Nothobranchius furzeri: one gene and its partners. The protein of the gene in region 2 purifies or fractionates together with the protein of the main gene of each other region. This does not show direct contact. Links are inferred from orthologs where the notes say so. Each region holds a gene or a part of one and is shown on either strand. Other genes may lie near its edges. The genes, in order: narfl, ciao2a and ireb2.

The links.
Region 1: the proteins of ciao2a (region 2) and narfl purify together in Homo sapiens (affinity purification with mass spectrometry; 4 studies listed by BioGRID and IntAct, with this or other methods). This does not show direct contact. The link is inferred for Nothobranchius furzeri from reciprocal best matches to the Homo sapiens genes CIAO2A and CIAO3.
Region 3: the proteins of ciao2a (region 2) and ireb2 purify together in Homo sapiens (affinity purification with mass spectrometry; 3 studies listed by BioGRID and IntAct, with this or other methods). This does not show direct contact. The link is inferred for Nothobranchius furzeri from reciprocal best matches to the Homo sapiens genes CIAO2A and IREB2.

The regions. Positions count from the first base shown.
Region 1 is NC_091752.1:55,723,518-55,727,956, forward strand, and holds the start of narfl (cytosolic Fe-S cluster assembly factor narfl), read right to left. Parts: upstream 2,851-4,439; 5' UTR 2,803-2,850; coding exon 2,737-2,802; intron 759-2,736; coding exon 663-758; intron 585-662; coding exon 441-584; intron 351-440; coding exon 221-350; intron 141-220; coding exon 6-140; intron 1-5. Other genes in the region: transcription factor E4F1, read left to right, coding at 3,378-3,561, 3,810-3,937, 4,023-4,098, 4,258-4,433.
Region 2 is NC_091744.1:55,351,593-55,355,245, forward strand, and holds the end of ciao2a (cytosolic iron-sulfur assembly component 2A), read left to right. Parts: intron 1-2,729; coding exon 2,730-2,830; 3' UTR 2,831-3,243; downstream 3,244-3,653. UniProt on the Homo sapiens protein: Component of the cytosolic iron-sulfur protein assembly (CIA) complex, a multiprotein complex that mediates the incorporation of iron-sulfur cluster into extramitochondrial Fe/S proteins.
Region 3 is NC_091754.1:45,150,457-45,154,109, forward strand, and holds part of ireb2 (iron-responsive element-binding protein 2), read left to right. Parts: intron 1-2,687; coding exon 2,688-2,774; intron 2,775-2,947; coding exon 2,948-3,113; intron 3,114-3,248; coding exon 3,249-3,386; intron 3,387-3,471; coding exon 3,472-3,653. UniProt on the Homo sapiens protein: RNA-binding protein that binds to iron-responsive elements (IRES), which are stem-loop structures found in the 5'-UTR of ferritin, and delta aminolevulinic acid synthase mRNAs, and in the 3'-UTR of transferrin receptor mRNA.

The DNA of each region.
Region 1 (4,439 bases), on a different chromosome or scaffold from region 2:
TACACCTGGACATGCAGACGTCAGCATGGGAACGGCCTTGCTGTCCTGCTCCTTCCGATGGAAACGCTCCACAAACTCCCTCTGACTCTCCAACAGACTGAAGGTCCGACTGAAGCTGGTGTCAAACACGCAATGAACCCCTGCCAAAAGCACCCCCAGGAATAATCTTCAGATTATCTGCTTAGGTGTTGCATGATATAAAAACAGAAAAGGTCCACACCCAGGTTTTTGAGGTAAGCTGTGAGCCTCCTGCCTGCCTCACTGCTGCTGAGGTTGTAGTGAGCTGCCAGGGAGGCTCTGGACTGAGGCGACACCGACACAACTACAATCTTCTTTTCTGCTTCGTTAATCTAAATAATCACAACACTTATTGTATTAAGGTTAGACGGAATGCAAAACTTGCAAAACAAAAATGAACAAGCTCAGAGACACACGTCTACCTTGTTGTTGCGCAGCACTTTTAAAAGCTCCTCGTGGCTCTGCTGAGTGATGAGGACACTCTCAGCCGAGGTGATACAGCCACTGCAGGCCAGACAGTCGTTCAGTGTGATCTTGGCCTTCTCCAGCTTCTGCTTCCCACCATCCTGTAAACACAGGGTGTGTTCATTCAAACTTGGTTTAATAATTCTCAAACTGATTAAAGACTGAGCAAGGATACCCACCTGGTTGACCTGCACATAGCTGCCGTCATCTTCTATTTGGATTTTGGCCACAGATTTACCCTGTTTCTTCTCTACTTTGACTGGTTTAACACATTCCTGGAAAACACACCAATGTGTAAACCGCTATTGTAAATGAGATCAATCATCACATCCAAAAGCATCTGAGAAATATGACTAAGCACTATTGCATGGGGAGAATAATCTGAAAAACTGTAAAATTTACACAAAATTATCTGTTTTCATAAGAAAAAACAAAACATTACTGATTCATTTGGGTCTAAGAAAAATTTCATTACTTCATACTGAGAGTGTCCTCAATTTTTCAATTGTTTAATAAAAACAAAGGGAACCCCAAGGTGCTGTTTAACACCATCAGCAGCATTGTCTCTCCTGCCTCTCCTACAGCCTCCATCCACTCTGTTGCAGACTGTGAGAACTTTCTGTCTTTCTTTGTGGACAAAGTCAATAAGGTTAGATCTAGCATCTCTCCTTCAGCCTTACCGCTGCCTCTCCCGACTCCAACCAGGCCCATCATCCTAGATAGCTTTGCTCCTGTTTCTTTGCCTGAGTTAACCAAACTAGTTAACTCTATGAAGACCTCTGCATGCCCCCTCGTCATCTTACCCTCATCTTTGTTTAAAATTGCTTTTCAGTCCATCGGTCCCAGCGTGCGCTCTATAAATAATGCTTCTCTGGTTTCTGGTCAGGTCCCTGCTTACTTTAAGAATGCTGTAATCCATCCGCTTCTTAAAAAACCGAGTCTTGACCCCTCTCTCCATAGCAGCTTCAGACCCATCTCTAAACTTCCGTTCATCTCCAAGATCTTGGAAAAGGTTGTGGCTAAACAATTCACAGCTGCTCTTGATGAACATAACATCTATGATAGCTTTCAGTCAGGTTTTCGTAGAGCTCATTCTACTGAAACAGCTCTTCTTAGGGTCTCTAATGACCTTCTGACTCACAGTGATGCAGGGGACTGTTCTGTCCTGGTCCTGCTGGACCTGACTGCAGCCTTTGACACTGTTGACCATCACCTGCTACTGGAGAGGCTGAGAGACTGGGTCGGCCTATCAGGATCTGCTCTGGAGTGGTTCTCCTCTTATCTTTCTGAGCGCTCCTTTTCTGTGGCCGTCTCCAAGTTTAGGTCCTCCACCACCTCTCTTACCCATGGTGTCCCACAAGGTTCTGTGCTGGGGCCTCTGCTCTTCCTCCTCTATCTGCTCCCTCTTCAGCACATCCTGTGGCCCCCAGACTCTGGAACTCTCTCCCCCTGAGTCTGAGATCAGTGGACTCAGTGGTCTCATTTAAAAAGCAGCTGAAAACACACTTGTTCAAGCTGGCTTTGGTATGACCTTCTTCACCACTCTCTCTTTATTCTGCTCTCCCCACCTATTCCACCTTCCTCAGGATCCACTGATTTCCCTCTTTCCTACTCACTCTCTCTCTCTCTTTCTTAACATTTTGTTTTTTAATCACTAGTGTCTATTTCTTGCACATTTTAAATATATTTTTAACCATTTTCTAAATTCGTTTTTATATTTTTACATGTTTTGTTTTTGTGAAGCGCCTCCTGATTTTTATCTTGAGAGGCACTATAGAAATATTTTCTTCTTCTTCTAAAGAACTAGCTAAAATATAGTTTGTCTTTATTTGCCTATAACTGACATTTAGTGTGTTTAAAAATGTCTGAATATGTCAGCCAATACGATTGATTTAATTTAGTCTTTGAAAGTGTTTTATTTCAGTGATTTAATTTGTCTTTACACAGGTTACGGCATGGACTAGTGACGTAATTACGCCATAGTTTTAAAAAAGTAAAACTTTACAACTTGTTACAAATCAAAAAGTAATCATCGACTCGTGATGAGCTTCAGCCAATACTCAATGTTCCTATATTTTATGAGAAGTTTCTCTCTACGAAAAGCCTAATCGTGTGCTAGCTGCTACATCGCCATAATTAATCCGTCAATTGTTCCCTAAATGTCACGACCGGTGAATTGTTCATAATTACTGTTTCACCCACTTGTAATTAATCCAATACACGACTTAATTTCACATTATTTCAGTGACCGACCTGAGAAGGAGTGATAAAATCATCGAGATCTGTTAGCTGCAAGACTCCGCTGAAGTGGGAAGCCATGTTTACTACCGTAAAGTTGTTGTTTACTCTTGTGTCGTGAATACTGGGTTACAAGCTGTACAGTCTATGGTTACAAGACAGGCGTGATCAAACTAAATACCTCTTATCATATGTTAAATTATCATTCATTTTGGTCAAATGACAAACTATCAAATTTTTAATAATAAGTACCAAAAAAATGTATATTTAACTTTCTCTGTAACAATGGAACAAATTAAATGTAAATATCAGAGATGTAAAAATGTTTATTTTTTGTTTGTTTGTTTGTTTTTAACATTTGCCCAAATAACACTTGTTAGTTGTAGGACTGGACATGAAGACGTCCATAAGTAATATTTCATTTTATTCCTACAACAAATAGCATTACTTTTCTCTGTTGCTCATTCTAAATATAAAAAGTGCCTGTAGCTGAATGAAAAACAATAATTTATTTGTAGAGAAACATTTGGCCAAAATCATAGCCTATGAAAGCAACGCAGCAGAGTGAATCCTGTCTATTTTACTGAAGAAAAAATTAAGGTGACTAAAACGAAATCAGAAATGTTTAATTTCACTTTATTAGCTGTGAGAGAATCATGCACGCGCCCTTTTGTTGTTATGACTACGGGGTCGTAATCCGCCATGTTTTCCCTCCCCGCTGCAGCGTTGCGACAGAGACGGAGAATTCAAACGACATGAATGTGGAAAATAATCATACGGCAGAAACAGAGAAGAACGGCAACGAGACCATTACTATTCAGACCACACTAGGAGATGAAGGTTTGTCACCTGGCTGTATCAAACAAGCCGAATTTGTTTATCATTTAACGCGTTTGGGCTACGCTAACTTTCACCGAGGTGATGTCTAGCTAACAGCTAACTGACACGAGCAGCATAGTTTCGTATTTTTAGGTGGAAGTACACACTGTTTGGGGTGAATCAGACACGAATACATTAAACAGTAATCAGTTTGTGGCACTAATTATGATATTGGTTCATGCTGGTTGGGTCCGTTTCTGTGCTACTAGATGATGTGCACAAATGTGGTCGCTGCCAGTCCGAGTTCTCCACCCTTGAGGCTTTCATCCAGCACAAACTGCAGCACGGCTGCAAACGTGTGGAGGCTCAGAATGCTAGTCAGGATGGCGGCCAAAAGGTAGGAGCTATCTGGGTGGGGCTGTGTGGATAAATCAGTCTAAACGGCATCAAGAGAAGTAGCATTGGTGTCCTCATATATGCAGGTCACTGCTGAAAATGGAAGTTCTTCCTCAGAGGTGAAAAGGGCAGAAGCAGATAAACCAGTAGTGATCTCTGATGGTGGGTCAGTTTTATCATCCCTTATTGCACCTTTAAATGAATGATTGCAGAGTTTATCGGTTGGTCATTTATTTCTAGTCGTGTTTTTAGTCTGCAGATTTAATTGTAGGTGTGTACTTGATGTGTTGCTGGACTGATGTTTTGTCTCTTTTGATCCAGATGAAATCAGTGGCCAGTTGGGTCGAGGCCACAGGAAGAAAGTGGCCTCACTGAAAGTGCAGTCTGATCCAAGTGTAAAATTAGCATCTCGCAATGCTGACAGTGACACTCTGTCCCACAGTGTCAATCAGGAAGGACGTTATATTTGTCCCATTTGTCAAAAGACATTTAAAACAGTGAGT
Region 2 (3,653 bases):
TTAGTTCACTTTGCTCAAATAGAAATAGAGGCCTGCCTCTAATACTGGCCCTCCTTCCAATAAAGGCCTGGAGCTTGATGAGCTTGAGTCAAATACAGGCCCGGGCCTGTATTAGAGGATTTACGGTATATGTATATACATATACGGTATGCTTGAGTCAAATACAGGCCCGGGCCTGTATTAGAGGATTTACGGTATATGTATATACATATACGGTGAATATGTGTATATATATATGTATATGTATGTATATATGTATATATGTATATACATATATATACACATATTCATATATATATATATATATATATATATATATACATATATATATATATATATATATATATATATATATATATACATATATATATATATCACGATAAGAGTCGTCTCAAGGCACTTCACATAATAAGCATTCCAATTCAGGTCAGTTCTTTAAGCCTATGAGAAATAATGTTTCGTATATAAGGAACCCAGCAAATTGCATCAAGTCACTGACTAGTGTCAGTGACTATACAGCAATCCTCATACTAAGCAAACATAAAGCGACAGTGGAGAGGAAAACTATATATATACATGTATATATATATATATATATATATATATATATATATATATATATATATATATATATATATATATATATATATATATATATACAGTTGTGGTCAGAAGTTTACATACACTTGTAAAAAATATAATATAATGGCTCTACTGAGTGTCCCGTTATTTCTAAAACTGATTTTTCTCTGATGGAGTGATTGGAACAGATACTTCTTTGTCACAAAAAACATTCATGATGTTTGGTTCTTTAATGTCTTTATTATGGGTTAACAGAGAAAAGTGATCACATTTGCTGGGTCACAAATATACATACAGCAACATGAACTAGCAATTTTGGTGACAGAAACGTGTCAGTGAACTGAGCTTCATAGCATGGCCTCTTAACTTCTTGTGAGTGATTATGAGTGACTACAGCTGGTGACTTCTCTTAGGCCAGGTAAATAGGGCTCATTGGATACAAACGCCCACAAACGCTACAATGGGAAATTCAAAGGAGCTCAGCATGGATCTGAAAAAGCGAATTATTGACTTGAACAAGTCAGGAAAGTCACTTGGGGCCATTTCAAAGCAGCTGCAGGTCCCAAGAGCAACAGTGCAAACAATTGTTTGTAAGTATAAGGTGCATGGCACTGTTTCATCACTGCCAAGATCAGGAAGAAAACGCAAGCTATCACCTGCTGCTGAGAGAAAATTGGTCAGGAGGGTAAAGAGTGAACCAAGAATCACCAAAAAGCAGATCTGCCAAGAATTAGAAGCTGCTGGAACACAGGTGTCATTGTCCACAGTCAAACGTGTTTTGCATCTCCATGGACTGAGAGGCTGCCGTGCAAGAAGGAAGCCCTTGCTCCAAAAGCGGCACCTTAAGGCTCGACTGAAGTTTGCTGCTGATCACATGGACAAAGGTAAGACCTTCTGGAGGAAAGTTCTGTGGTCAGACGAAACAAAAATCGAGCTTTTTGGCCACAATGCCCAGCAATATGTTTGGAGGAGAAAAGGTGAGGCCTTTAACCCCAAGAACACAATGCCTACAGTCAAGCATGGTGGTGGGAATATTATGCTGTGGGGCTGTTTTGCTGCCAATGGAACTGGTGCTTTACAGAGAGTAAATGGGATAATGAAGAAGGAGGATTACCATCACATTCTTCAACATAACCTAAAATCATCAGCACGAAGGTTGGGTCTTGGGCGCAGTTGGGTGTTCCAACAGGACAATGACCCCAAACACACATCAAAAGTGGTAAAGGAATGGCTAAATCAGGCTAGAATAAGGGTTTTAGAATGGCCTTCCCAAAGTCCTGACTTAAACCCCATTGAAAACATGTGGACAGTGCTGAAGAAACAAGTCCATGTCAGAAAGCCATCAAATTTAACTGAACTTCACCAATTCTGTCAAGAGGAGTGGTCAAAGATTCAACCAGAAGCTTGCCAGAAGCTTGTGGATGGCTACCAAAAGCGCCTAATTGAAGTGAAAATGGCTAAGAGACATGTAACCAAATATTAGCACTGCTGTATGTATATTTGTGACCCAGCAAATGTGATCACTTTTCTCTGTTAACCCATAATAAAGACATTAAAGAACCAAACTTCATGAATGTTTTTTGTGACAAAGAAGTATCTGTTCCAATCACTCTATCAGAGAAAAATCAGAGTTTTAGAAATAACGGGACACTCAGTAGAGCCATTATATTATATTTTTTACAAGTGTATGTAAACTTCTGACCACAACTGTATGTATATGTGTATATATATATGTATATACATATACATACATATTTATATATGTAGATATGTATATATATATATACATATATATAAATGTATATACATATACACACATATATATATAAATGTACATATAAATGTACATATATATGTAGATATGTATATATATATATATATTATATGTTATATATAAAACAAAACAATAAATTCATGACTCCGCATTGGTTTCAAACACATGTATTAGAGTTTTGCTGCTACCACCACTTCCCCTCTCAGGCTGCCCCACAGCCACGCCCCCTCCCGCCTTGCTGGCTCCTTGAAAACAACTTTGTTTTTTAACTCTGCTAGCCCAGCTGATTCAGCAGTTTGTTTGTGTTACTGATTTTTTGGTGCTTTTTCACTAGTCTCATGTTCTGAGTGGTGAAAATGATTAATTTCTCCAGTTAATAAACAGATCAACGATAAGGAGCGGGTGGCAGCCGCCATGGAAAACCCCAACCTGAGAGAGATTGTGGAGCAGTGTGTCACTGAACCTGATGACTGAAGGGCCCAATGCTACATCAATAACTTTTTTAAGTGCGTGTGCATGAGTGAACACATGGAGGAGGTTGGATGCTGGAATCAAGTCCAGCCTTTAAAGACAGCAGCACCAGTTGTTGCTGGTGAACAGCCTGGTGTTCCAGAAGAAGGTGAATAAAGGAAGAAGAGAACACACCTCCTGCTCTACTTTTATCTCTCAACTTTCTCTCCATCATTCCTGCTGTTCACCATTCATGTTTAATCAGAACAGAATAAAAATGGCTGTTTTTCATTGCATTGACTCCTATTAGATCTTTTGTAATTCCTCAGGTGATTACCTCTAATTTGATTTCAGAGTCTGGATGTTTAGGATGGGGTTTTATAAACAGAAATGAAATGCAAATAAACTCAGAATAAAATAATCAGGTTTGAATATAATCCTGTCTCCTGTGTATTTGAATCAGAGTAAGTGTTTCAGCAGTGCTTCCTACAGATAAAACGTTATTTTGCACACATCTTAGGTTTATTTATTAAGCACTTTTAAGTGCTTCTCAGACAAGAACAATAAAACTGATACAATGATCTTAGAAATAACTATCTCACACACACCCATTAACATCACTCTTAACCATATAAAACAATATAACATTAATGTCAACATATATTTTCTCTGAGTGCACACACAAACACTGATTATACCTCCACAGTAATATTTCATACAGGTCACACGAGCTGTAATGAGCTTTTAACTATCAAGTACAAAATGATACCAGCCAGGTTTTAGTTTGTGTACCACTCTTCAAAAAGCTGATTTGGATTGGCTGCATGTGTCACTGTAGCATCACTTG
Region 3 (3,653 bases), on a different chromosome or scaffold from region 2:
GCCCACCTAACTCGGAGTGGCATGTCCACCCTGATCTCATATTTCAGGTTTGGGACAGGTTCGGGGAGGTGGCTGTGGATCTGTTAGTCTCGTGAGAACACACACTGCAGGCCGTGGTTCTCTCTTAGCTTGCTGGAATTCGCCCTGCTCGGTGAGGATGCTTTCGCCCAGAAACCATGGCCCAGGCTCCTTCTTTACGCATCCTCCCGGTTCTGCTGATTCAACGCCTCCTGGTACGAGTCAGGCAGGAACAACTATTGTTTATTCTGGTGGCTCCTCACTGCAGCTGCTGGTGAAAGCACGCCTGTGGTGCCTGCGTTGGAGGTAGGATGCACTCCTGCAGGCAGGTGGAACCATCAGACACCCACCGATCTTGGATCAGCATTTGTGGGTCTGACCACCGAACGGCCACGTTTAGTGTGTCTCAGTCTGTCACTCGATGTGGTCCAGAGCAGGCGTTCCGCACATGTGGCTGTTTCCTCCTGTCATCAGGGATATGGGGATAGATCTGTCTGTAGCCATCCCCTCACCAAACACTTCTTAAAGGGCGTTCAAAGGCTCAGACCTGCTCCTGCATCTCTGACTCCACAATGGGTTTTGGCTGTGGTTCTGCTTGGGTATTCTCAGGCTCCCTTTCAGCCTTTGGGCCAAGTTCCACAGAATTTTTTTGTCCCTTAAGGTTGCAATTTTGCTGGCTCTGATGTCATTCAAGAGAGTGAGTGACCTGACTGCTCTTTCTGTCTCGCCCTCTTGCCTCAGGATCAGGGATGATGAGGGTTCAGCTGTTCTGTGCCCCAACCTTGCGTTCATCCCCAATAGCATCATCAGCTCTTTCAGGTCCAGACCCATTTCTCTGGCGGGGTTTTTTTCCTCCTCCTCATGAGTCAGAGAAAGATGCTGCGTCACACCTGCTGCATTTGCTCACACAGATAGATTGTTTCTCTGTGGCAGCCTCTGTCATCTCAGCGTCTTACATAATGACAGTGTGACATCATCACGATCGCCTATGCGTCCTCTGGTCTGGATGCTTCCGACAGTTTAAAGGCACATTCCACATGGGCGATTTCTTCTTCTGTAGCAAGGTTTTGCTACAAGCATCTTGCTTACTTTCCACCACATTCATCATCTGTCATCCTGTACAACCATCATCTCATTCATACTTTGTCTTGTCTACCCCTCCCCCACTCTACTTCCCACTCTGTGTTCACTTCCCTCTAGGATTGGTTATGCTGCCTCACTGCTACCTAGGATTGACTGAATAGTGTTGTTGTTGTTAGCCTCAGGTGATAATGAAGCTGCTGCTTCATTATCACCTGTAAGTCGCTTTGGCCAAAACCGTCTGCTACATACACAAACATGTCTATAGCAGACATATGCATGGCTTGCTTTATGGTCATCACCATCTTCCTTTGTGAGGTTTTACCTCAGAGGTGTGTCCACCAGCCTAGCTGCTAATGTGGTGCTGGCTCACAGTTCTGCCTGTTCACAACTGTTGCTGAGGTTTGGATACAGAAACTGCCATTTCGTTTCTTACCCTTATGTTCATATGCACCCGCACTTCCATGTTCTGACCATGTTTCACATGGTGTTGTTCTTGATGATGACAACCTCCACATTCCTGCCTGTTGCTAGGCAACCTTTAGGGTTGATTCTCATCAGCTGTATGCTACATCATCGTGTTCTCCAGCTGCTCGCACATATTTGCGCCTGCTGGCAGCTGTGGAGACTTGTTTGGGCAGAAGCCTCAGAGTCCGCTCAGGTTTGGTTCTTAACCAGTGTGGCGTTGACTACATCGGGCTCCGCCTTTAATCGAATAAGTGATGGCTTAAAGGGCGGAGCTATACTCATAGAATCTGGGGTTACAATACATAACCCACTTTCTTCGACGGAGAAATGGTCTCTTTATTTTATTATTCTTTTTCTGTATACACTAATGTGGGAGGGGCTTAGGCTCCCCCCCCCCCCCCCCCCCCCGACTCGACTCTGGATGAGCATCTGAAAACGGATGGATGGATGATTATTATTATTATTATTATCAGCGAATATCATTTAAGCATCCAACCAATTTAGGATTCTTTATGGTTTCAGTGTTTTCAGCAGCAGAGCCTGCTTCGTGCTTTGTCACGTTTCTGAAATGAGACAAACTAGGCTAATTATGTTATTTATTTATCTTTCATCAATGATTTATTTAGTTTTTAATGCTCAAGTTTACTTTTAAATATAATTAAATAACATTTTAAAAAGCAATGGTGTGTGAAATGACATCTGCTCACTAAAACCCTAACCCTAACCAACAACCCATCACCTGATGTCCTCTCTATGTCCCCGCCCTCACAGCTGAGGACCAGGCTAAACACCTTTTACCCCCTTCACCTGTTTTCATGTCTGTGAGCTACGCTGAAACAAGTCTGTTTGAACTTCGACAGTTCTTCTAGGTGAATAAATGCTGGTATCTGATTGGTGTGATCTCAGGGGCAGGGGGCGAGAGGCGGGCTTTAGAGACGAGCAGCGCTATAGAGAGTAGGTGTGGCCTTCTGTCTGTTTTTGTTTACTAATCTGGCTTAAAGACATAAGAAGGGAGGTGGCATCCTTCTTTGGTTTCATAAAATGAAGCTGGAAGTCCTCTAGCAGCCGCACCGAGGACTTGAAGGGTTCTGGCTCTAGAACTGTTTATATCTTCTCTGCAGAGCACCCATTCCACCATCTAATCGACACCCTTAAAGATGGCAGGATCAAGTTCTTCAATCCACAAAAATTAAACGATCCAAGATATGGTGAGTTTTGGCCCTCCCACTGGAGATGTGCCTGTTTGATGAGGAGTCAGCGTTGTTGTATGTTTATGAATGATGCAACTTGCACTGATTTCATGTGAAAACATGCAGATGTGAGCAGGGTGGTGACATGGACAGTGAGCAGCTCAACACATACCTTTGATCTTGTCCCTTAGACAAACTTCCTTTTTCTATCCGCGTCCTACTGGAGGCAGCCATTCGTAACTGTGATGGTTTTTACACAAAAATGGAAGATGTGCAGAAGATCCTTGCCTGGCAGGAGCAACAGGATAAAGCTGAGGTGCCATTCTCACCTGCACGAGTCATTCTGCAGGATTTCACGTGAGTTTGTTTGATTTTAGGTCAAAACCTTAAATTAAAGAATTATGAAGCTCATAACCAAGTGAGTGGGTTTCCCTGGTTTACCTAACTCCATGAAGAAGGCTGATTTTCTGTTTTGATGTTTTCTTCTGACAGAGGGATTCCTGCTATGGTGGACCTGGCCGCCATGAGGGACGCTGTAGCCAAACACGGTGTGGACCCCGCTCTAATCAACCCTAAGTGTCCCACGGACCTGATAGTAGACCACTCTTTCCAGATTGATTTTAGTAAATGGTCTGTGTCTTAGATGGTCGGTTTCAAGAACTTTGAGTAAATGGGGTAATAGAAGTTTATTCTTTAATGTAAGTTTTATCTCCAGTGCCATACAGAACACTCCCAATCCTGGCGGAGGGGACGGTCCCACCCAGAACCAGGCCTCCTCTCGCTCCACTGCCTCCAGGCCTTTCATCAGAGGGGACTTCCAGTGTGGAGACCGGAGAGGCTCTTGTAGTAAAGCTGCCTGCAGTGACTCGCCCACATCTTTGGGTCCATCTCCAGCCT